Neodiprion lecontei: one gene and its partners. The protein of the gene in region 1 purifies or fractionates together with the protein of each later gene. This does not show direct contact. Links are inferred from orthologs where the notes say so. Each region holds a gene or a part of one and is shown on either strand. Other genes may lie near its edges.

Region 1 (9,785 bases):
CGACCAGTTGATCTTATCTCTTTTTATAATCAATTTTGTACTGCGATTCATACTCGTACGTAGATGATCATAAATCGGTATTCGGCGGCAGTTAATAATTTACATTTATAATACCATGGCACAACAATATGCTCTTATTATACTTGTACTTTTTAGTACTAAAAATTTCTCATCGACTGACGTTTTGCCGCGTGTTTGCAGAAATTTTAGAAAAACTATTAGCGCACAAATTTTTTAACATAGACATTTTAAGCAACAAATTATCACTACATTAATTATCGTAGAATACAAACCATAGCGTAGAGTTCATCATTATTAATTTTATACAATGAACAGTACTTAGTATTTATTTTCGTTATTTTACTGCATTTTTTTTTTTTTTTATTTCTATTTATCGAAAACTTTTTTGTTCTTTTATACATCACAATAAATCACGCTCCCATACTTGTATGATGTGCGTTAAACCAAGCTTGAGATGAAGTATGACAATATACAATGTTGGCGGTATTTTATTAAATCTTATCCCCACCTCGGGCAAATTATCTTGTCAGTAAGCATACGAAATGAAACGTTATGAGAAAGCGAGTGAAGTACAAGAGTTGAGTTATTTCAAGATTCGTGTATTATTACCTAAAAACGAAGAGTTATTCCACGGTATGAATAGCTTAAAATTCGTAAGAATGATAATTTTGGCCAAATTATAAGTGCGTCAAGAGTCACATCACGTGAAGTTCATTTGTAAACGTGCGTTTCGAACAATTTAGCGAATACGGGTTGTATGAATTCAATCATATCTGTCGTAAGCATGCTTCGCTGTTTGATCTTGAACGCGGCAGCGTTGCACTCTCTTGTCAACCTGGACGCAGCATAGGAGGCCGTCATCGCCGGGGACAAGGCACACTCACTGGGCCCAGCACTGAGGGCCCACCAGTAGAAGACGGCCAAAGCTCCTGACAGCAGATCACCTTGGCCTCCGCATCTTCTCGGAGATCCGGAAGTTCCACAGGACAATGTCTCCGTGCCCTTGTGACCATCGACGATCACGTCCTTGGCACCCTTGTGCAGAACGACGACGTTTTTCCCGATGACATCGGCGAGGTGTTTAACGTCCGATATTTTAGCGACCGGAGCCGGCTGTATCGACTTTTCCAGAAAGGCCTTGGCCAGTCGAGAGAACTCCATCGCGTTCGGCGTTAAGATAAGCCCCGGATATTCCTTGACCAGTTCTGGCTTCTGGGTAATCAGGAAGAGACCATCCGCATCTATGATCAAGGGCTTCTTCAGATCGCGACAAATCACGATGACGTCCGCGATTACTTTGAAGACCTTCTCTTCTCTTCCCAGACCGGGACCAATCACGATCACGTGCAGCCTATCGAGCCACGGTTTTATCTGCTTTACAGCATCGTGCTGGTCGAGAACTGGATGCACGATCGGTTCCGGACTGAAGGACTTTATGGGAACCCCCGCATCTTTCGTGCAAAATACGTGGGCCAAGTCAGCCCCGACTCGGAGTGCGCTCAATGCTGCGAAAAACGGAGCTCCGGTGTACTCGGCACTCCCGCCAAATATTCCAATCCTTCCGTCCTGACCCTTGTATTTTGAGGTGCTCAAGACCGGGACTATCCTCCGGGAAGCCTTCAGCATCCGCTCGTCAACGTTCGAGGCGGAAGAAGCCATTGTTGAATATTTGAATTTGAACAGGTGCTCGGTAGACCTACACATAAACAACCTTGTAGCGAAGATCATAGATTCGTGGTTAAGTGAACAGTTGTGGCGACAGCACAAGCAAGCTACGAAGAACTGATACTCTTGGCTTATTTATACTTTTTCAAATCGATCAATTTATCCGTAACGAGTGTATGTGGAATTAGAGTGATTCAAACTGCGGATGTTGGACTGTAGGCCGTCGGTTGCATGACTTCACAAATTTTGAGGCGGCGTAAAAGCTATGCGCGTTAAGCGACTGTATCCACGACAGAAGCAAATTACCTTTATTCTTTTCTCAACGTCGAGTAAATATTTTCGACGAGCGAACGCGCCAAGTATAACTAAACCACTGAACGTTCGTTGGCGGCCAGAAAGGTTAAATGATAACAATAGTTATCGCAGGGTTGTCGGGTGCCATCTATCAGCATGACGTAGAAGCTCAGCCTCGGATACGAACGACGTCGAATTAAAAATATAACTTACAATTTTGAATATATTTATGTAATTTCGTGAGTACCGTTGGGATTCGAAATTGATTAAATTTCAACTGTAAATTTATCAAAAATTGAGACGAAAATTTCACCGGAAAAAATAAAGAAAAACAAACGATCGAGAATGTCAATGATAAAAATTGAATCGCAGACAAACATGAAACGTTTATCTGCGACAAACTTGCAAACGCTCAGTTTGCGAATTCCACGATGTAGAAACAATCGTGGGTAGGTAAAAGTGTCGATGACCGACGACGGTATAGTTTAATAAAAACTGAAATTTATAATACTTGATAAAAACGCACAATAAAAATTTATAGTCCGAGCGAGTATCAAGAATTATCATTTACCCATCGAGCATTGTCCGAGAATTTGAACCCTTCGGCGATTATTCGAAAGTAAAATACCAAGTTATGCGATACTGAAGAAATTCGAATAAAAGTATTGATATGAAAACGTTTCTCGCGCATCTTTGTTGACACGAAGGATAGTATTGTAGGTTAATTATTTTTCTAACGAGGTTAGGAACTCGAGAGTCGTGACATCGATAAGCGATATTCGATGTTCGAGGGTCGCGAGTCAAGAAATGAGACACCCTTCCGTCTCCAGGGCCTCCAGTAGCCTTGTGACAATCACAAATCAGCTGATGACGTAACAGGCGACGAGTGGCGGAGAGAAAAAGTAGTGTGCTCGGCTATTGGTGTTGGTGCGCTGGTGGGCACAAGCGAAATATGGCGTAGGATTTCGTGGCTAGTTACATCGGTTGCATTTTGTATTTTCCACAGACATCTCTGAACAGTTGCGAGCGTACATTACTAGTAATATTATTTACAATCGGGCGTGGCTGCGGTTATATTAGAAATTTTAGGCATGAGTGTCGACGCGTACGGGCCTAGCAGCCAAACCCTGACTTTCCTCGACACGGAGGAAGCAGATTTGATCGGGGCAGATACGCAGGGGAGCGAATTCGACTTCACTGACTTCACTTTACCCTCACCCAGTCAAACCCAGGCTTCCCAGCACGACGGAGGCCAGAGCCAACCCGTTCAGGTAAGCCAAAAGTATTTTTTAAACCGATTGACGGGACGCCCACGCGGCCCGTACCTACCTAACCTTACTTAGACTTCACTATCAAAATTCATCCCCATTCCCTTGATCAGCGATTGAATATTCTCACAGGCTGAAAGCTCATATTTATATGCTTCCATCTTCCTCCATGTGTTTCGCAAATTCTTCGAATTGAGAAATCATAACATAACCACTGCTCCGAACAATGCCGTACCTCATCTGGCAACTATTACAAACTCAACTTATTTCCCATGCATTTAAAACAAATCGAAAACAATCAATTAATTTAGGTCGCTCCTCTGTTCGCTGCTCATTGGCCCATCTTTGGTTGAACTTACTCTAAGATAGTAGCTCTTCAAATTGGTATTGGTATTGTTGACGATGGAATATAAAATAACACAATGTTAATTTGCTTCTGTACCATTCTCTATTTATGCCCTTTAATCTTTATTCAAGTTTATTGTCAATACAATATCTATCTTTTGGCTACATTCAATATAAGCATAATGTAGATTTTTCAATTCTTGTCCTTCCTTCTTTTACAAATAGTCATCAAACATTCTGGTAGATGTAACAGTACATCTATTTAATGCTTTTATAGGCATAACATTAACACATGTTTAAAACTGTACGATTATGTTGTATAATTGCCAAAAGTGGTGCTGACGATTGATAAGAAGCTTCCATAATGATATAACTGTGATATTTCGACACTTTTTACGACCCCTTTCGTTCCATCTGGATTACTGTGCTATTCATTAAAACATTTCAACTTCACAATGAAATTATTCAATTTTAACAATCACTAATTGATACGCATCTTTATTATTTACACGTAGGTTAATGGCACAACTGGTGGTGGTAGTTCTTCGCTCGACTTGAAAATTACCGGCGCTACTCAAAGTCTTGCCGAACTCCAATTTGAAGAGGAAGAAGAGGAAGCATACTACAATCGAGACTTGCCAGAACATGCTTGCAAATACTGCGGCATTCATGAAGCGTCATGTGTCGTTATGTGCAACGCATGTCGCAAATGGTTCTGCAATGGTCGTGGCAATACTTGTGGTTCGCATATCATCAATCACTTGGTCCGTGCCAAACATAAGGAGGTCACTTTGCACAGGTAAAAGATTTAACATTTTTAATATGCAAGATGACATTTTTCATACTGTTTCAAAATTTCTGCACTTATAACCTCCTGTTGACTTAACGAGGCCGAAAATTACATCCCGTCCAAAGGAACCGGCATTTTCATGACGAACAAGTTAAAATAATGTGAATAAAACTCATATCAAAAGTTGCTAATTCAACATTGATCACTAATTTCACAGAGATGGACCATTAGGTGAAACGGTACTGGAATGCTACTCCTGTGGTGTAAGAAATGTTTTTGTGCTGGGTTTTATTCCCGCCAAAGCCGACTCTGTGGTGGTGTTGCTTTGTCGACAACCCTGTGCCGCCCAAAGCTCTTTGAAGGATATGAATTGGTAAGTATTGCCACTTTGACATTTGTCGACGATTGGGTTATGGATCGAGTGTTCATTCCTTTGGTCCAAAATGCTTTTATTTTATTTGGAGGAAATTAACTGAATTAATTATGAAAAAATACACCACCACTAGGGATCAGGAGCAATGGAAACCACTAATCGCGGATCGCAGTTTTCTGGCTTGGTTGGTTAAGATCCCATCTGATCAGGAGCAATTGAGAGCTAGGCAAATGTCTGCTCAACAAATGAACAAGTTGGAAGAGTTATGGAGAGACAATGTAGATGCAACGTTTCAAGACCTAGAAAAACCAGGGGTTGATGAAGAGCCGCAACAAGTTCTTCTGCGATACGAAGATGGATATCAATATCAAAATATATTTGGTCCACTTGTGAAGTTGGAAGCTGACTACGACAAGCGCCTTAAGGAGTCACAGACGCAAGAAAACATAGAGGTTTGTTGACCATCAACGATTTCATTTCGAAATATAACGGTTGTACACCAGAAATAATAAATTTCATAATATTCTTAATTGTGTAATAATGCGGTAGTCGTCTTTAATCTTTCATTTTATTCGATTGTTCTTTTTTCTTCAGGTACGCTGGGACGTAGGTTTGAACAAGAAGACCATTGCCTACTTCATGCTTGCGAAAACGGATGGTGATATGAAACTGATGCATGGTGATGAATTGAGATTGCGTTACTTAGGAGAGCTCCACAAGCCATGGTCAGGAATTGGCCATGTGATAAAGATACCTGATAATTACGGAGAGGAAGTTGGCATTGAATTAAAAAATAACTCAGGTGCACCAACAGAATGCATTAGCAACTTTGTTGTGGATTTCATTTGGAAAAGCACGAGTTTCGATCGGTACATTAGATACAATACTATGAACTCTGGCGCTAAATAAACCTTAAATTTACTGTGTTTGTAAAACGTGCTTAATGTATTTCAGAATGCAACTGGCTTTACGTAAATTCGCCGTTGATGACTCCTCTGTGTCTGGATATATTTATCACAGGCTTCTTGGTCACGAAGTTGAAGAAGTATTGTTTCGCTGCCATCTTCCAAAACACTTTAGCGCTCCAAATCTACCAGATCTGAATAGATCACAAGTTTATGCTGTCAAACATGCCGTACAAAGACCTTTGTCCCTTATCCAGGGGCCTCCAGGTACTGGTAAAACCGTAACTAGTGCAACCATAGTTTACCAGCTAGTAAAACAAAACGGAGGTCCCGTATTGGTTTGCGCACCCTCTAATACTGCCGTCGACCAATTGACTGACAAGATCCATAAGTCTAATTTAAAGGTTGTGCGTTTATGTGCCAAGTCGAGAGAAGCTATTGACTCGCCTGTCAGTTTCCTTGCTTTGCATAACCAAATAAAGAACATGGAAACAAATAACGAACTGCAAAAGTTGCAGCAATTGAAAGATGAAACTGGTGAATTATCGAGTGTTGATGAAAAACGTTATAGACTTTTAAAAAAGACGGCAGAGAAGGAGCTTTTGGAGGCTGCCGACGTCATTTGCTGCACCTGCGTTGGTGCAGGAGACCCAAGATTACACCGTTTGAAATTCCACTCGATTTTGATTGATGAAAGCATGCAAGCTACGGAACCTGAATGCATGGTGCCTGTAGTCTTGGGAGCCAAACAATTGATTCTAGTTGGTGATCACTGCCAACTAGGACCAGTTGTAATGTGCAAAAAAGCAGCTAGAGCTGGCCTATCTCAATCTCTATTTGAACGACTTGTCGTACTGGGTATTCGTCCGTTCCGTTTAGAAGTTCAATACCGTATGCACCCAGACCTATCTCGGTTCCCATCCAACTTTTTCTACGAAGGCTCTCTGCAAAACGGTGTCTGTGCAGACGAACGGAAGTTACTGAAAATTGATTTTCCGTGGCCTGCGCCTGACAAGCCAATGTTCTTTTACGTAACCCAAGGACAAGAAGAAATCGCCGGTAGCGGCACGTCGTATCTTAATCGAACCGAAGCTTCTAATGTTGAAAAAATTACCACCAGATTTTTACGTTGCGGTGTGAAACCTGAACAGATTGGAGTAATCACACCGTATGAAGGTCAGAGAGCTTATCTGGTTCAGTACATGCAATACCAAGGTTCTCTATACTCTAAACTCTACCAAGAAATAGAGGTTGCCAGTGTCGATGCCTTCCAAGGTCGAGAAAAAGACATAATTATCATGTCTTGTGTTCGGTCAAATGAACATCAAGGAATTGGATTCTTAAACGATCCTAGAAGATTGAACGTTGCACTTACTCGTGCTAAGTACGGTATAATCATTGTTGGAAATCCAAAAGTGTTGTCAAAGCAGCCTCTGTGGAATCACTTGCTTAGTTTCTATAAGGAACAGAAAGTTCTTGTCGAAGGACCCCTGAATAATTTGAAAGAATCCATGATTCAATTTGCCAAGCCTAAGAAACTGGTAAATGCTGCTAACCCAGGATCTCACTTTATGTCAACTTCTATGTACGACGCAAGAGAAGCTCTAATTCCTGGCTCTGTTTACGATCGTTCTGGTAATCAGGTGAACGGTACTCAAAATCATAATCCGTACTACCAGAGAAATGTTCCGCTAGATATTTTCAGCAGAACTCATGATACGATCAGCTACATTAGCCCAGAGAGAGCACAAGCTGCTATGAACAATGTTCCGGTTCCTGTTGGAATGTTCATGAACATGGCTCATGTTCCACCACGATTCTACAACCAACATCAGCAAGCCCTACAAGCAAGGCAGAATCTAAGAAATCGCAGAGGCGCAACTTCGGCTAAAAACAAAGCTGGCCTTCGGGGAAGTAAACTCAGTCAAACGGAACAAAATACGCAGCCCTATAGCCAACCAGGACTCCCGCTTACTCAAGGAACTACGCAAGGAATGTCACAGCCAGGTTTTAGCCTGTCCCAGCCGGGTCTTAGTCAGGCGGAGTTGTCACAAGACTCGTTTGCAGTTGGTGAGTTTCAGTCACAAATGGACGGTTTATTGTCTCAGGATTCTACTTATCAAGGAGATAGAAGCGGATTTTACCAGTCAGGCCAGTCGCAAGCAGGAGGCCAGTTCTCCCAACCGTACTGAGCCGAAAAGATACGGCTGAACAACGCATTCGCCATGCAGCGTCGCGGGAGCGACTGAAGGCTTATTAAACCAACTCTTCTTCGACAAAAAATACAAACCAACCAACTGCGTAAAACGGTAAAACGGCTCGACAAACGAGTACATATAGTACAAGTCGTCGGTATGATGAGAGGTGACCATGCCGAGGACAACTATAAAATGATGACAAACTGATATGAGTAACACCGCAACGCAAGTGAACGGACCGTTTTATCGCGGGGATCGAGTGACACTGGAAAATGGGACGTGTAATTCACTTCTAAATTGACAAGCGCCGACATAGCAGTAATGCGACCAGACACCCCATGGCAAGGCGACAAGTGCTGATCGGCACATTTATATCTTAAACAAAATGTGGAAGATCTGTAACGTTTTTTCTTCCTCTAATTTCTGGCAACCTTTCGTACCTTTAACTCCAACTGGCCAATCTGGCTAGATTGTTTGAATGCCAGCGACAGAGGTAGTTATGTAAGGTGCAGGGTTTGTTAAGCGTTTCAGTTCTTTTAAATTTTGTCTAAGTTTCCGATAGAAAAAACTTGGAAAACTAACTATCTTCTAGACATCAGAGAGGTATCATTGTTAACAAGTTACCTCTACTGTTCATCCTCTAGATGTCGAAACGCATAGAAACGATAAATTTTATGCCGAAAATTATAAGCGCATAAATTTCAAGTGAGCACAGGACGAAATCCTTGTGAAATTTATGAAGCCGCTAATCATCCATCGAGTAATGTAATCTATGCTTCAACATAGAGTTAGATTTCTTTTTCATTTTTCTTTCAATATTTTGGCATAAACTAAACATTCTATTAACGTCAAAGATCGATATTCTTATTATGTTTTGGTTTGTTGGTTCAATGTTTATTTATTGCTAAAGCCAAACCAAACTGCAACTAGATTATTTTACTTTCTTTAGGTCATTTATTTACTGATGGATTAATACCACCAATTAATCGGACAGAAAGTATGCTACCTGCATCTTGAAACATTGTGGATAAGAGTGCTTATCGCTGATAACATTGTGCGACATGGTGGATGTCTGATGAAGAAATGCACCTATTCACAATATTTAAGATCGTTTAAAGTTTTAATATTATTTTTAATAAGGGATACACACACAAATGCATAGTCCGCTAGAGTGTTGGGGGGGATTTTAGTTACTAATCCAGCCGAAATATCAATGGTGTAGTACTGATTATTTCTTTTCGTTGTTACAAAATTATCTATATTCTAATTTGGCAGCAATAGCATTATTATTATGGAATAATAATCAGCGTAATACATCGCGAAATTAATATATTTCTTTTTTGGATCGAAAACGCACCACTAGCTATAAATTACAGTATGAAGATTCGTTGTAAAATCTTATGGTACCAATAAATTTGATTTAAAAATATCTGCATATCATTTTCTCTGATACTTCTGTATACTACACAAAATTTAAAAATCTTGGGCTTCAACAAACCAAAAAAATGGAATGTTTGGAGGTAGAGAGTTTTCACTAACCTTTACTTATTACGTTTATCCATATATTGGGATCAAGAATATTTCAAACCAGGTATAAACAATGTATTTATTTAACAACAAAATCAAGATTACAAAAAATAATTTAATAGTATCAACTTATCTAATAATTTAGGATTTTTTATTTCAATGGCATTTGCAAAATTCCAAAATATAACACGAAGTTATTACAAACTAAACATTTCGCTTCTACATGAATTTAATTCGTATTTAATTTTTTACTACATAAATTTGCATACCTCGAGTATAATATTATTAACAGAGTTAAGTTCATTGAGCATCAAAATATTTATTACAAATTGAATTTTGGCACTTGGGATAGTATATAAATGTTTATGATATAACATATTACGTACAAGTCCATTGAGG
Region 2 (9,966 bases), on another chromosome or scaffold:
ACGGACGTCGAATTAACGCAGCGCCTCGACGTCGGCGGAAAAAGTCGCTCATGAGAATGGGTACTGACGAAACAGCAAAATCCCGCTCGGAGAAGCCCACGTGGTTGGATCGCAATGGATCAGAATGAAATTTTTATTTGAAGAATTTAAAATTATAGGATTGTTAATCGGAAGTGCAAAAAAAAATAAAAAAATTAAACAGCGAGATGAAGTAGCTAATGGCGTACTCGATTCCGTTGGCAAAGTTACGTCGGAATAGTGCATCAAATAATTTCGTTCAGCACTTTTCAAAGTCGTCAAAAATGCAAAGGCCTTACTGTTCTTTGGGCAAAAAATTTCAGGTCTTTGATTTGATTCGTATGACACTTTCCTGACTAACGGAACCCTCAGAAAGACAAAAAAAGGTGCGAAAATAGCGTGGGATCGTCAGCAGAAAAATTACGTAGGAAATCATTTGTTTTTGGGCTGTAACTTTTGATCCATTTCCCGCAGCGCATTGGAACTACTACGTCCAATCGATTTTTCTCTCTCAATTACGTCGACCTAGTGCATCAGAGAATCAATCAAACTTTTTCTTCAAAACAGCCAAATTTCAATTGAAAAAAATTTGAAGCGGTTAGTCTTGCTTTTTTGCGATTTTCATAGCTTGGAAACTTTTCCTCTCAGAATCGTTTTCCAGCTCTTTTACTCTATAGTAGTTGGACTCTCAGAAATGCGAAAGACGTTGAAAACAGCGTGTGACCAACAGTAGAGGATTTACGAAGGAAATCTTTCACTTTCCGATCGTAACTGTTGATCCGTTTGTTCGTGTTCCCTAGGACGAATGTTCTAAGGGCCTATTATTTCTTCTATGCTATGCTATTTAACAACAAATCAGTAATTTATTCAAAAACGTAATTAACAGTACAGGTGTTTAGTCATAATACCGAATATTAGAGTAGGTTTCAATTGATTATACCTAGTAATTACAACAGACTGAAGTGCGATGAGCAATTTATTGAAAAAGCAATTAACCACAAGAAATATATAACTTAAACCTAACGGTATCGTTAACCTTTATGTTATGGCATAAGGATCATGGCAATAAAGTATTTCCGGTTTTAACAATAAACCATAAAGCAATAAAAGTGACTCACGGTCTCCTTTGAACGCGCTGTCCAGCAATGTCTGCACTCACATTTGGCGAGTACCTGCATGTTGTAAATGCATACAAAGCCAGCGTTCCGTGGTACCCTTCGACGGCTGTATTATTAGTAGAAAGCATGGTTACTGTCTATCAGCGGCAGAACAAAGCATGGCGGTCATTATCTTGCAGAATGTGGTGCGATTGTCTGTCCAATAAAGCAGAATCGAACCGACCTGGCCTAAGTCTTTCATCCCTTTCAGGTATGTGTGAATTCCCGTTTGTCGACCCAGCGTTTTCTTTGAAAATTACCTGTAACTATACAATAAAACTATATGAAAACAAAACATTCGGGCATGCAGGGCCGAACACCGTTAGTCATAGCGTATTCAAACTGCGCGCTATCGATTCATCGAAAAAATCCAAAGGGGTTGCTGCTGCCTTGCTGTTTTGCGATTTTTAGAGCTCGGAAACTTTTCGTCTCAGAATCGTTTTGCAGGTCTTTTTTTTCCACTGATTGGACCCTTAGGAATGCGGTAAAAACATCAAAAACAGCGTAGGATCAACAGCAGAGGAATCACGAAGGAAATCTTTCGTTTTTCGACTGTAACTCTTGATTCGTTGCCGGCAGCATATTCGGACTCCATTCCATAGAGCTTGTCTATAATATCTATGAATTGCTGTCCGAGATATGAGAAAATAATTTCATTCATTCTCATTATTTTGTAATCGTAATACATGTAATTCATTCAAATTAATCAATCATTGATTTTATTTTTGTTATTGTTAATCGTCCAAAAGAAAGGCCCTGGACACACCGCAGCATTTTCAGTATGGGCTATGCGGTAATAAATGTATGAAGAGGCATCTTAAATATGCACGAGTTCACGATTCTGGAATAATGAAAATGAACGATACTATTCTCTTACTTCGAAAAACTGCTACCGTTTTATTTCATTTCCTTCTTGCTTCTCCATTTTTTCCGTTTGTTCACACGCTGAGAGAAATTTTTAGTTCCGGTTACCGCTCAGTCCGTAACTATTTTTATTCTTTACCACAATCGAAAAATATAGTTCTAGGTACAAAATGAAAATTAAATTTGTAGCTGTTACCAGAAAGTCTGGTATCCGTTACTATTCTTTCTCATTACGAACACTTTTACTATATTTTCTTGCAACCGTTGCGAAAATTTAATTTAACCAAAAAAGTAGAGTAAACCTCAGAAACTGATTTTGCGTTGCAATTACCAAAAAAGGATCGACAATAGCGCAAAATGGTTACGTGTACGTCGTTTTTCGTAATTCCAACAATATTCAAACAGTTCATTTAACGATACCTATTTTACTGAATTTTTCTAGTTACTCTAACAAATGAAATTTTTCTCAGTGCACTTCCAATTAACAATCCTCGATTTCTCAATTATTAGATAAAAACGCAACTGACAAACACCCACTCAATTACGTAGTTCATACTTGCGGCATTTTGCCGGTGCGTTGGTAGTCATTTTCATGGGCGTCTTTTTGCTGCCGACGCGACGGCGTGACACTGCCGCGTTAATTTGTCATCGCGTCAATTTGACGCCCGTAAAAATCCAGCTTAAGGCTAGCATCAGTGCCTTAGAGCATGTTTTAGCAGCCTTTGCATGTATGTATACCATCAGTAAACGTCACGAGTGGTGACGAGATATTCGTATTGAAAAAAAAATATCACTCTGATTCAGATTCTGAACAGGCATTTGATTTCCAAAATGACATATGTTGTGTTCTATTTTTCTTTACCAATGTGTTCAATCTGGGGTCCATAAGAACATTGATGAAATAACGGGGTCTCGCATATCATAATTTCGAACGTCGCGGGTTCTATGGTCACTCAGTCTCCCCCCACTCTGCATCATACTGACTGCATGTTGGCAGTAGATTTTAGTGTGTCGCGACGACGCTAGGGGGACAACGAACAAAACGAACGCGACGAATGCGAATCGGTCAGTCTCTGTACAGTCTAACATGGAGTACGAGCAAAACTCGAACGTGTGTAGCTTCAGTGAACTAATTATGTCGGATACACGGCGTCGTAGAAAGTCTAATACTTCTGGAGGATCTGAAGATCTTTCGGATTCGTACGAGGAGTTACATGTAACTAAGGAAACCCAGGTTAGTTTTATTTGACAACTATTGTTTCAACATCTATATTTCTAAACGTAAACGGGCGTTGTATTTACGGTCTGACTTGACCGTTTGTCGATGAAGGTTGATCGCACCGGAGAAATGAGGTCGAAAGTTCAAAGATTTCTCGTTATAATTTGCGTGTATCACCCCAGGTTCTGATAAAGTTCTATTCAGTAATGTGCCATCCAATTATACGGCAAAAAAATTTGCCGCAACGTTTTCGCAGGTTATGCCCTTCGTATGTCACTTATATTTAGCCTGAATTCTCTGCTGTTTAGAATCATCTTGATATCCGTGCCAATAGATATAGACACTGTACACTTACGCATCGTGTACTTACAGATTAGTATCTCAGATTTTCTGCCGTCGAATCAATTGTAAAAAATGTAAACTTTCGTCCTTACCATATATTACTGTATGCCGAAAAATAAACACGTTCATTCGACAACGCGGAAATTGATATCTTTATGTGATTGCAACTTTTTCCACTGTTTGTGTTTAGTTTTCTCCGTTTTTATCTGCTAGGACAATACATCCACTGGCAATCGTCATATCAACTGGGAAAAATGTATAAAAATGATTGCCATCTGTTGCTAAATGCGAGTTATATATTTGAATGAATATTTTTAAATTAATTTCAATCATTGTTTCAAGTTATTGAGTTAAACAATTTTCATATCCCCAATTAATGCTTGTAAGACGCTGACGACGTGTTGATAATCGTCACTATGGTCACACGTCGTAAAGCGTGAGTTTGTACTAGAAACAGATTGGTAGCTTATTTCTTATTGCATAGTTACATTGGCCTTCTTATTTTTCTGTAAATGAAAACTGGAGCTGGATGGTAGGCTGCCTTTCACCCAGATACATAACTGTACCTCACTTATGGCTTGATGTTACAGTAATTGCTCTATATGTTAGATTAGGTCATTCATTTGTAGGGCCTATTTTGGTTTTCAATTAATTTTGAGCTTCTACGGGACAAAAAAATTCTTTTTTCGACTAAAAATTTTTTTTCATCCAATAGAGTAACGAAGTTACAGAGGGTGAGGAGCATCGTGACTCAGAATATGAGACAGGCGAAAGCAGGTCTGAGGCAGACTCGCAGGATGGCGGTTTACGGGAGAGTGGAGATGGACAGGAGGAGGACAAGCCGCAGCGAAAACTGGATGACGATGAAGACAGACGTAATCCTCAGTATATCCCTAAGCGAGGTACGTTTTACGAACACGATGACAGAACAACGGAGGAGGTAGCCGAAGAAAAAGTAGAAAATCCCAACGAAAGAGAGGTGAAAGAAAAGAAAGTCTGGAAAGACAAGGAGGATCGATGGGATCATGATAGGTATAATGACGATGAACAAGCACCCAAGAGCCATGATGAACTAGTAGCTGTCTATGGCTACGATATTCGAAACGAAGAAGGCCCGCCTAGAGCTCGACGGAGGAGAAGATATGGGTAAATAGACATCAATTACCATTTCACTATAAAGTCTTAGAAACTTGTTATTCAGCAAGATATTATCAGCATTGGCAGCTAAAACATTTAAAGAATTAAAAAAACTACAATAAAAAATATTGATTGCATAGCAAACGAAAGTCTGATCACTGTCTACAAGAACAAAATTTTTTCACCATGCTTACTCTTAATTCATCAGTATCAAGTTTGTGTAAAAGTTTCTGGTACTCTGCTAACTTATCCTTATTCCAATAATAGTCGCGGTCCAAACAAATACACGCGAAACTGGGAGGATGAAGATGCATATGGTAAGCCAGGTGGTCCTCCTTCAGTTGGCCGAGGTGGTGTTAGAAAAACAAACCGAAGTGGAGAAGAGTTTCCTGCATTAAGTGGTGGCAATAATAAGGTGAGAATTTCTATTTTGATCATATTGTTTTGAATTAATTACGCAATAGGTGACTGTACCAGCTGGCTACTTATTGTTAGTATCAGTCGATGTTTAAATACTCGATTAGTTCCACGTTGAATTAGAACAATTTGAGATGTATCTTTTTACAGTTCAACAAAGCAAGTGTATGTAGTCTCTAACGAAGGTGTGTTTTTTTCACAGGACGACAGGTCAACCACACCAGAAGAACCAGTTATCACTTCGGCGTGGTATAGCAACAAAAACAAATCTCAACCCAAAGCAGGAAACTTCCCACCTCTCCAAGCACAGCATGAGTCTCTAAACTCGAAGACTAGTCCTACAAATGATTCTGGGATGTAAGTATGAGAAAAAAAAAAGTAAAAATACAATGCCACTAGCAAACTATTTTACAAAGTGTTTACCCAACATACTCATCAATTCAACATCAATGTTTTATTATAGAAACGAAATGCGAACCCTTAATGAGCCAACAAATCCAGCTTGGAAGAAGGAAGTGAAACAGAATTCGCATAGTCAAAGTTCTAATGGAAGCGGTGGTGGTGGTGATGCAGACAAATTACTGAATCACAAATCCTCGCCTCGTGATTCGAACAAAAGGCAGGTCCAGGAGAGTGTGAGTTTGGCAGCCAGTAGAGCCAGAGGTCGAGGATTCAAAGCGAGTGGTAACACTAACAATGCAGGATCCAACAGATTGGATTATAAAGCTAAAGGTCGTGGATCTGGCTCAGTTCCACTTGATAATAGGCGAAATAATTCAGACAATAATCACATCGACGATCATCATATAATTACCGATATGAAACAGATGAATGTCAATGACGGAGGATCTTTTCAACAGAATAGCAGACAGAACAGTAAGATTTTATGCTTGTCTGACAATATGATCAACGAGCATCTTGACTTGCAAAGCTTTTCTAACAGCTTATTTTTTATCTTTACAGAAAATTTGTATGTCCAATCTCCAGGCCAAGTTCGACCTGGTACGATTCCTCCACGTATGCAACAACAGCACCAGCAACCACAGCAACAGCAGCAGCCAGCACAGCAGCAATCAGCTCGCCAACAGCAGCATGACGCAGCTGGTAACAGACCTAAACGGTATTCAAGCTTACGCCAGCGCCCACCAGTTCCAGAGGGTCCTGGACAGCAAGGCTACCAGCCTCAGCATGGTCAACATGGCTATTACCCACAAGGTATTTAATCAGTCGAAATCATTCGCTTTATTGTGATCTTATAACATAACCTCATCTAAATATTTCCTGATCGATGCAACGATTATTTGACACGACCATGCTGCACTTTTTTTCGAATATGTCAACGTGACGTGTATGCTGTAGGCTAATTGTATATTTTACCGAAATTTATTAACTTTTACTTTTAGTATTAACATTTGTATTCACATGTTCTTAGCTGGAAATTCAAGAGGCGTTCTAGATTCCCAAGGTAAATTTGACAAAAAAGATTCAGTAGTATCGTGTGCGCGATTTGACTATTTCTCTAGTTTGATGCTGTTCATTGATTTGCAGATCATCTGACAATTACATGTTGAGAATGCACTTTTAATTAGTTTGCAACATCATTGTACTAGCTTTGCTGACTTCAATGTTATTTTACAAAGTGAATGACAGATCAAGTTTCAGCGTACTACTTTCAGTTATAATCTTCTCAATGACTTGTGCTTTGTGGCTTTTATCCACACAAGCATGGGAAGTATACCTCATCTTTGCATTGTTACTTGAAAATAAGGATTGTGATCGCTATTCATAAATTCACAGTGCAAGTCTTGAGATTTCCTATGCACTTTGGGATATATGCTTTCTTTTTTGTAATTAAAAAATGTTTTATCCATAAGGCTTCTGCTTTATTCGTGTAAAATATTTTGTGTATGAAATGTGTGAAAAAGCATGTGTTGGCGAGTTTCATGAGTTATCCAATCTGAGGAAACTTTGGATCAGATGATGAAACATCAGCTGCCTACTTTTCAATCACTAAATAAATATGAACAGTTACTTACAAAAGTTTTTTCTATGATTTTAGGATACCCTGCGGGTCACTTTGATCAGGCTCCACCAGTAGCACCGCCGGCAGCTCCTCTAGCTGGACAACCGGTCCTTCCCTTGCCTCCAGGTGGTCAACCAGCAAGTTTTGCTCCACCTCCATTTTTGGTACCTTCACCTCAGTTCTTACCACCTCAGGGTGCACCGCCAAGCATGATTAATTACGTACAGGGACCGAACGGGCCTGCCTTTCAACCTAACTTCCAGGGTTATCAAGGCTTCAGTCCGCCTGTTCAGGTTGGTTGATAAATGGTAGTTTTATTAGCAGCTAATTTCTGAAATGTCCTGCAATGAGCAACGAAATTTTAGAAATTAACTTATCTTCTAGTACCCTAATTACGACAGAGTAATAACGAAAACCAATATCTTTGTTTTCAGCCACAAGGGCCGCCGCCGCCCCAAGAACTCTTTCAGCCACAGGGTTGTACCTATTACAGCCCTGCTCAACAACAACAGCATGCAGTTCCTATGAGACGACCAAAGGCTGCAATTCCTATTCTTCCGCCACCTGACAATCAGCAACATATGACTAGTCGAGGTAGAGGTAGAACAATACAACAACAAATCATTTCCGTTCCAGTTGGCGGCGTGCAAAGAACAAATACGGAAAGTAAGAATAACATGGTGGAAGGCGATGGGAAATTCGTACAGGCACAATTTGCTGGAGTTCAGATAGAGAAGCAGGTACTAATCGATCAGTTTGCGGTTAATGAGACCACTGAAGTAAGAGAAAATTCCGTCGACAATGAAGACAAGGATGTAATATCCAATTCTGAAATCACCAATATCTCGGAAACTTCAAAAGAGTTGAAGGTCAGCTTAGATGTGGTCGTAATGACAGAGCAACGGCAAGACAATGAACAAGAAACGGAGCAGCTACAACAACAAGAGCAACATGTTTTGGAAAGTGATGATGTCATAACTACCAAAACCGCTGAACAAGTGATAATTAATACTACAGAGCCTGAATTGCCGAAAATAGAAAATAAGGTAATGGAAAGTCCCGCGGTTGAGGAAGCTGCTGCCTAGTTATTTACACTTAGCTTTTTTTAATCACGTATCATATTCAATTGACTATAACAGTGAGTTAATATGATGTGAATACGTTGATGAAACTGTCATCATCATTGAATGTCACGTAAATATAACTAACGAGTGATGATCATCAGAAAAAGTGAAAATATTTTGGAGAATTTCAAAATTGCGATAAAGCGAATAATGTCGCGGCAATCGCTAATTTATCGTGCATCAGCCATCGACTACTGTACATGTTATGTTATGTTTATTACTAACTTGGGGTGGTATCCGTATTTCACCAGTTTAGTTCGTCGCTTGCAAAATAAAAGGATAATTTCGTATTATCTGCATTTTGACTAATTATCTGGCGTTATTATCTGCCAGTTTCAATTTGAATTTTATATTCACATTGTGCATAATTAATTGCATTGTAAAAGTCTCATGGGATGAAATTCTTTTTCGACAAAGTTATAACTTTAACTTTATCTCTCTGGCCGGGCCAGTGTTACATCAGCACGTTTTTATTTTGTTAGCGACTCTCTCCTTTGTTTTGGCACAAGATTTTTCTAGGTCTTCCACCTGCTTCAGATCGATTTTCCCATTTCCTCAATTCAGTCAAATAAAAACATATTTAAGATTGATTTTTATTCATATGCAAATGTTTAAAGTTTATAAAATCAACAATATAAGATATACTAACTTCTTGAATTTTGTTGAATTCATAAGCTGATATATCTTTTTTTAAAAGTCAAAGATATCATTTAAAACGAACAGGCTTGTTTGATATAAACTTTGATTGTGACTCGTTCTAGCCATTTGCCGTGCTTATCTAACCGTTGAGTAGCCATTGATATAACATACGATTATTAATTAAACAGAAAAGGTAAAATCAGAAAAAAGAAGATAGATAAATTATGATAAATAGAATCATAAATTAATAGATATCACATACAAATGTAACATTTGTATTGTAATTATTCAGTCTGTATAAGCAGTTAGTATAAGCGACTAAAAAAGAGATGATTGCGAAATTGTAAAATAGTCCAAGCAGTTTTGGACACTTAAGGTGTGTAATAAAAACGTTTCATTTCACTTAAACTGACTTTTGTTTAAAACGTCTTTGTAGAAGAATTATGCCGCATAAATGTAAAAATATTACTTTTCTATAATCATGTAGAAACATATAAATGTTTTATTAACACGAGGTTCGTGTTTCAGTTTTAATAATGAATGCATGTAAACTCTTGGCGAATTGATCGATGTAGTTATGATAGTCGTATGGTTATAAGATTTACCTATTTTTATTTCCTAATGCTATCAGAAATTGAATTGCAGGATAAATTGCGATCGATTTATATTTAGTAATTTTTAGTACCTACGTGAAAAAGTAGCGCAATAATCTTACCTTGTTCCTCAATTGGCAGAGTTGAAAAAAACCAAAAACGAGCAAATTGAATGAAAAAATAATTTCCAATTTGGAAGAAACTAAAATATAACATCATCAAATTGACGCAGTGAAATCTTGTTATTAGTAGTAATTGTAGTAAGTTAGATTTATGCAAAGAGCTATAATACATTCTTCATGCCAACAAGTGTTTTTCCCAAACGCAATAATTTTCATACCTTCAAATGCGAATGACAGAATCATAACTGGCATGTGTTCTGTAAAAAAATATCAGTTTTCTAGATAACACAGCAAGTAAGACCGGAATTCTA
Region 3 (6,994 bases), on another chromosome or scaffold:
TTCGTTACAAAGTCTATATGTCATATTCGTTACTCGTCGTTTGTTAGTTTTATAGCGTGTATCTATATAAAATTGCATATGTATTATAATTGATTACTGTCGTTATTCACCTGGAGTACAATAGCGATTGTTTATGAGACATAGTTGCTATTTGCTTAACATTATTAGAATCGCGCTGCTGCGAATATTCTTAGGTGTTTGTGTTATAATTATCTTAACAGATTTAGGGTATTTAACAATTTGATAATCCATAGTTTTAGAGCAGGTTTATATGTATGCTTTCGTATATAATTCTCTTCTGTAATTATTAATTCTTATATTGATATAAATGGGCCTGGAAGCTTCTAGAACGTTTTTCGTATGTTTGTTGGTTGCCTGTCATTGGGCGTTGCCACGTATGCATCTTTGACTTTATTGTGAGTTGATTTACCTTCAATCGTTTCGTCGGTAGGTTTCCTAATGTGTTCTCTAGATGAAGCTCTGTATGGCTCCACATTGGAGATCTGCATTGCCTCCAAGACGTTGCGCGTGTCGCCTACAATACGGCATTACGGAGGAAGGTATAGTTCATGCTGGATAATTAGTATTCACGGTTTTGAAGGTTTTGCAGTCTCTGGTTTTATGGATTATTGCAGCAGTGCTATCTTTACATTATATTGGTTATACAGTTATCTATGGTTTTACAGTCTTCTGTACTCCAGGCTATATGGTATAGCGTAAGTTGCTTATAGTACATGTACTATAGCTGCAGCTCTCAGCTCCGAATGCACAAATGGCATTTTCGAGTGCTAAATAATAATTGGATATAATTGTGTTAGTTAATTATAGTGTTAATATGATAGTGATATATAATAACGTATAATAATATTATAGCTCTTTGTAGTGCGAAGATCTCGTAACATGGTTTTTAAGCTTTGGTTAGTGAATGTCATAGTTATTTCCATCTAGGGATATTCCAAATAGTTAGACAGTTGTTTTAATTCCTTATGGTTACAAGATTCTTGTACTTCGAGTTTGGTTAGTTGATAAAAGTAACATGCAGTAGTAATAGTCGATAAAACATACGGACATTCCGGTCGGATGTTACACCCTTATGACGCGTACTGTTTGAAAGGCGTATGTTATAATAACCTATTGAAAATCTGCGTAGCATTTCCTTTCGAGTGTACAGCAGAAGGTCTGATCTACAATTGGTTGTATCAGTTACGCATGACGCGCAAAATGAAATACGTGTAACATCCGACCGGAACGTCCGTATGTTTTATCGACTATTATTACTGCATGTTACTTTTATCAACTAACCAAACTTAAAGTACGAGAATCTTGTAACCATAAGAAATTAAAACAACTGTCTAACTATTTGGAATATCCCTAGATGGAAATAACTATGAAATTCACTAGCCAAGGCTTAAAAACCATGTTACGAGATCTTCGTACCACAGAGAACTATAATACTATTATGCGTTATTATATATCACTATCATATTAACACTATAATTAACTAACACAATTATACCCAATTATTATATAGCACTCAACAATGCCATTTGTGCATTCGGAGGTGAGAGCTATACTATAAGCAATATACGCTTTACTATATAGCCCGGAGTATAGAAGATTGTAAAACCATAGATAAATGCATAACCAATATAATGTAAAGATAGCACTGCTGCAACCTATAAAATCAGAGGCTGCAAAACCATCAAACCGTGAATGCTAATTACCCAGCATGAACTATACCTTCTTCCGCAACGCCGTATTGTAGGCAACACGCGCAACGTTTTGAAGGCAATGCAGATCTCCAATGTGGAGCCATATAGAGCTTCACCTAGAGAATACAGTAGGGAACTTACCGACGAAACGAAAACGTTCTAGAAGCTTCCAAGCCGATTTATATCAATATAAGAATTAACAACTACAGAAAGGAGTTATATACAAAAAGCACACATGTAAGCCTGCTCTAAAGCGACGAATTATCAAATTACTAATCTGTTAAGATAGTTATAACACAAACAGCTAAGGATATTCGCAGCAGCGCAATTCTAATAATGTTAAGCAAATAACAAACTATGTTTTATAAACAATCGCTATTGTACTCCAGGTTAATAACGACAGTAGTCGACTATGATACATATGTAACTCTATATAGAAATAGCCATAAAACTAACAAACGACAGGTGACCAAAATGAAATATGGGCCTTGTAACGAGCAAGATAGCAAAAACATTAAGAGGTAGACAGGAAGAAGTTAAGTGGCTGACGGGCGCCAGGAAGGGGGCTGGCGCCTCAACCAAAAGCTCACGCAGTTCGGAGAACTACGGAACAAAGTCCACGCACCTACACCACCGCACCAAGCAGCGATATACCATACGTAAAAACCTACAATATAGTAATAGCCAATGGACTAAGATAACAGGCGTGCATGCGGCGAAGATGTCGTGCCCTAATTAGAATTCCTAGAAAAGAGGGGAGGTGCGCAAAGGTGACCAAAAAACTAGAGAGGGGGATCGTTCTGCGCAACGATCGACCCCTATAAAAAGGGCGACCGATCACTCGATCGCTCTCTCGGTTTCTACCTCCAGATTCGTGATCTAGTTCCGGTACAGTCTCGCGGTAAAATCCTTCAGCCTTTTGCATTTAAACTTTCATACAACGTTACTCTGCCCAAAAGTTCAGCGAGCTTCAACTCCATTTTGTCATACTAAGTTTAAGATCTTACACTGTGTAACTCTGCGTTTGTGACTTCTAAATATCAAACTTATAAAATAAACCAAGTTAGTCAAAGTATCCAAATATTAAAGTCAGTTATTCCGCTCAAACCTCTCACCAATCTACAAGTCATCGCATCCAGAATACTCTCAAAAAGGTAAGCCAAATTAAATCTTTTATCCAACAATTTCTCCCTCTTCGGTTCGTTCGACTAGAGCGACAGAATGCCCGTTGTCCGGTGTATTTCAATACTTAATCGGTAATTGGTGACCCAAACTACTGATGTGAGTCTAGCTGTAGCTGCGTGTGAATGTTTCCGGTGTCTAACATCTGGAGATTTCCACTAGGTACTGTTCCGACGTCACATACGCTTCATGTGAATGGCGTAACTTCGTTTAAATTACCAGAATCACTACAATATGCAAGTTACGCTCCATGTGGTGGCACCCTAAGCATCTGGTCAGGTGTTACACACGGTTATGTTTCACGTCTTCTACGTGATTATCAATATAAAATACATTTATGTGAACCATCAAAGTAATATTTAAGCGTGCTAACTGTAAGTTTACGATTGATACTAATTTAGCATTACGTGAGGCATAAAAATGGGCGTGCCAAAATTCTTCAGGTATATGAGCGAAAGATATCCATGCCTCAGCGAGGTTGTCAGGGAATATCAGGTGTGTACATACAAGTTTATAATTGAACAATTATGATGCTCTTACGAAATCACAATATCGAACCACATCTACAAATGTACATTAATTATCCCTTGAACGAAATGAATGAGACATAGCTGATCTCATGCTCTCACAAATATCGCAGATCTTATTTTTCAATCAGCCTGTTTTCTAAAAAAAAATTGGTTTGGTCTTAATTCTTGCATACTGGTGATCAGTCCATTTCATACCATGTCCAAATACAGTGATTACAAATACTTGGTTCAATAAACTGGCCCGATACTTGCACACGATTATGATTCATAAATCAGATATCCTTGTTGATTCCAGTCGTGTAACAGCTTATATCGTTTGAAATCTATCGCAGCGATTGAATACTGTGCCGACCTCAGAACATTATCGTAACAAAATCTGTTACTCGACATCGGAGCTAACAAGTCTGTGTCAGGCATGTTGCAGACTTGTCAGGTTAAAGTCTTATAATGTTAACGTAACGGATGAATATTGCAAAATAATTTCTGTTCTGTAAACTAAGGGTTGACAAAAATTCAATAACCTGTAATAATGTAAAAGACATCTTACAACCGCAACTTTTTTGAAGACATTTTCAGATTTTAAAATGAATATTATTTTGTTCAATTTAGTGCAGATGATACTTGGGCAATATACCATGTATGACATCAAGATAAAATGGCATTAGCCTTCTAAGATTAAAATGTACATGCTAGTAGTGTTTGACGCAGTTCATTGAAAAATGAGTTTTTTGAAACATTCCTTGCATGTGCAATTTTATCGCCGAAAGCCAAATTATTTTGAATGACATAGACTGTCATAATCCAAAAATTTGTGCATGTTCCAAAACATTAAAACAATGAAATTCGTAATTACTTTAATCAGTAAATCATGTAACATAATCAGGTCTTTTCATAATTACTCGCAGATGGGCAAAAAACAAGTAGAACAGGCGTAATGTAATTTATTACAAATGGCTGCAACTTATTGTATCTGGGCAGGAATATACTAGGTTTCAATTTTGACCTTGGTAGAGATGTCGGCTATCCAAAGTTTATTCTAAGAGTATATGCCACAGTTTCTGCAAAAAAGCATATCATTTTTCAACAATATCTTTCAATTTTCAGATACCTGAATATGACAACTTATACTTGGATATGAATGGCATTATTCACATATGTTCTCATCCGAATGACTTGGATCCCCACTTTCGTATATCGGAAGAAAAAATATTTCGGGACATATTTCATTATATTGAAATATTGTTTCACATGATTCAACCACAAAAGCTATTTTTTATGGCGGTCGACGGTGTAGCACCACGTGCTAAGATGAATCAACAAAGGGGCCGCAGATTTCGCTCGGCTAAAGAAGCTGAGGTTTTAGAAGCCAAAGCGAAGGAAAGGGGCGAAGTACTTCCGAAGGAGGCACGATTTGACTCCAACTGTATAACACCAGGAACTGTATTCATGACACGTCTTAATGAGCAACTCAAATATTTTGTCACCTACAAAATAACAACGGACAAACTTTGGCAGAAGTGCAAAGTGATACTGAGCGGACATGAGGTTACTGCATACCACTAGATTTTTCTACAGACTTTCCTGTATCAGGTGTCATGCAAAATAAATATGTCATATCGCGCAACTGTTTTGAAATATATTCAGTTGGAATTCTCATGATTAACTGTTTTCTTTTGACGAGACGTGCTATTTCCTCACCTAAAAATTTATTTCAGACACCAGGTGAAGGAGAGCACAAAATCATGGATTACATTAGATATATTAAATCTCAATCGAATTATGACAGTAACACAAGGCACTGCTTGTACGGTTTGGATGCTGATCTCATAATGCTGGGTCTGTGCACGCACGAACCTCATTTCTCCTTGCTGAGGGAAGAAATAAAGTTTGGAAATAAACAGAAGCGAGTGTCCACCCCTGAGGAAACCACATTTTTTCTTCTTCATTTGTCAGTAATGCGAGAATATATCGAACACGAGTTCTCTTCACTTAAGGATAAACTTTCATTTGACTATGACATTGAGAAAATTATCGATGACTGGGTACTAATGGGTTTCCTGGTTGGAAACGATTTTATTCCAAATTTGCCAAATTTACATATCGCTAACGGTGCCCTGCCAATTTTATACTTGGCTTACATGGAAGTGCTGCCTACACTGGACGGTTGGTTCAATAATTCTGCTTGCCGGTAGTTTTGATGATTGTTTGTCTCAATATGATACTAAATTTTCAGTTCCCTTGATTGACGTCATCGGCTAAAACGGATCTAATAATCAATCATAATCGAGCTTCTTTAATCATATTTGCTGATACAACAATGCAATGTCTTGCAGGGTACATAAACGAGGGCGGTACTTTGAAGTTGGATCGCTTTGAAAAATTAATGGAACGTCTAAGTCGGGTGGATATTGAACAATTTGCAGAGCATTATGCTGATTTAAAATATTTCGAATCCAAGACCGGTCGAAGGCCAAATGAAACGGAAAGGCACACTTATCACAATTCTGAAGATGCGTCAGAAGCCTCAGCAAAAAATCCGGGAAATAAAGATTTGGAAGATTTAATTAAATCTACCTACAATATGGTATGTAAACATTGTTCTTCGAATGCGCAATCACAAATCGATGCTAATACTTGTAGGGAATGCAGTTTTGCTTCTTATTGTGTTTCATTGTGGGGATTTCATCAGTATTTGCTTAGAACTCTTTTATACGTTGTTGGATCCGCGCGTGTATTTCTTTTTTCCCTGTCAAATTGGACTGAATTTTACGGTTTTCGAATAAAATTTCAGATTTCATTTCTCGATGGCTTGTTTACACCGGGTTCTAATATCTAAACACCGTAAAATTTGCTGGAATATAATGTGCTTTTATTTTACATACGGGTATTAAAAAATGCTATGAAAAGTTGTATTTTTGATATGCAAGTACTCTGGCCATTTTGAGATTCTTTCTTTTCACCTAAGATAGACTAAAAATATGCTTAACATATATACCAAGTGACAATTGGGATTATTCTTCGTCTAGTGGTTACTAAAAAAAATAAAAAAATAAAAAATTCGAATTGACAAAATTTTGTTAAAAATTACCCACCCACATCCAAAGAGCTGCATTCATCCAGAGTTGCATGTCGAGTATTTTTCTATAGAACAATTTTTTTTCAGTACACAATTCTTTTTTTTTTTTAATATCAACCAAAGGGAAAACAATCCCACTTTGCCAATCAGGGTGACTATGGGAGGTGCTTTTAAACTTTTAGAAAATGGAAAAAAATGTTCAAATTTCTTTAGTTAATTTGGATTCCTTTTTTTCATAGTCACTGAACAAAGAATAATACAACATTGTCGCTTGAGTCATATGTTGGGCATATTTTTAGCCCATTTTAGAAGTGAAAACCAAGAATTTGAAAATTGGTGGAATACTTGAAAGATAAATGTACAACTTATGACTATGTTTTTTAATACCATATTGAAATTAGGTAGAAATGTAAGTACAATAGCTCGAAAGAACGTGAAAATATCTATCAAAATCACCATAAACAATTAAGTAGACTGTAGACAAATAAGCTTTC

Evidence for each region.
Region 2: the proteins of regulator of nonsense transcripts 1 homolog (region 1) and protein CASC3 purify together in Homo sapiens (co-immunoprecipitation; 5 studies listed by BioGRID and IntAct, with this or other methods). This does not show direct contact. The link is inferred for Neodiprion lecontei from reciprocal best matches to the Homo sapiens genes UPF1 and CASC3.
Region 3: the proteins of regulator of nonsense transcripts 1 homolog (region 1) and 5'-3' exoribonuclease 1 purify together in Homo sapiens (affinity purification with western blotting; 4 studies listed by BioGRID and IntAct, with this or other methods). This does not show direct contact. The link is inferred for Neodiprion lecontei from reciprocal best matches to the Homo sapiens genes UPF1 and XRN1.

The regions. Positions count from the first base shown.
Region 1 is NC_060265.1:24,664,107-24,673,891, forward strand, and holds regulator of nonsense transcripts 1 homolog, read left to right. Parts: upstream 1-2,735; 5' UTR 2,736-3,071; coding exon 3,072-3,251; intron 3,252-4,108; coding exon 4,109-4,392; intron 4,393-4,600; coding exon 4,601-4,756; intron 4,757-4,889; coding exon 4,890-5,208; intron 5,209-5,350; coding exon 5,351-5,625; intron 5,626-5,710; coding exon 5,711-7,853; 3' UTR 7,854-9,288; downstream 9,289-9,785. Other genes in the region: ATP-dependent (S)-NAD(P)H-hydrate dehydratase, read right to left, coding at 733-1,749. UniProt on the Homo sapiens protein: RNA-dependent helicase required for nonsense-mediated decay (NMD) of aberrant mRNAs containing premature stop codons and modulates the expression level of normal mRNAs.
Region 2 is NC_060262.1:37,919,256-37,929,221, reverse strand, and holds protein CASC3, read left to right. Parts: upstream 1-3,110; 5' UTR 3,111-3,126; coding exon 3,127-3,273; intron 3,274-4,315; coding exon 4,316-4,746; intron 4,747-5,004; coding exon 5,005-5,152; intron 5,153-5,356; coding exon 5,357-5,511; intron 5,512-5,617; coding exon 5,618-6,030; intron 6,031-6,117; coding exon 6,118-6,369; intron 6,370-6,586; coding exon 6,587-6,619; intron 6,620-7,213; coding exon 7,214-7,470; intron 7,471-7,611; coding exon 7,612-8,262; 3' UTR 8,263-9,342; downstream 9,343-9,966. UniProt on the Homo sapiens protein: Required for pre-mRNA splicing as component of the spliceosome. Core component of the splicing-dependent multiprotein exon junction complex (EJC) deposited at splice junctions on mRNAs.
Region 3 is NC_060263.1:41,907,650-41,914,643, forward strand, and holds the start of 5'-3' exoribonuclease 1, read left to right. Parts: upstream 1-3,138; 5' UTR 3,139-3,314; coding exon 3,315-3,389; intron 3,390-3,711; exon of another isoform or gene 3,712-3,839; coding exon of another isoform or gene 3,840-3,857; intron 3,858-4,528; coding exon 4,529-4,969; intron 4,970-5,139; coding exon 5,140-5,587; intron 5,588-5,757; coding exon 5,758-6,008; intron 6,009-6,203; exon of another isoform or gene 6,204-6,218; coding exon of another isoform or gene 6,219-6,290; intron 6,291-6,994. UniProt on the Homo sapiens protein: Major 5'-3' exoribonuclease involved in mRNA decay. Required for the 5'-3'-processing of the G4 tetraplex-containing DNA and RNA substrates. The kinetic of hydrolysis is faster for G4 RNA tetraplex than for G4 DNA tetraplex and monomeric RNA tetraplex.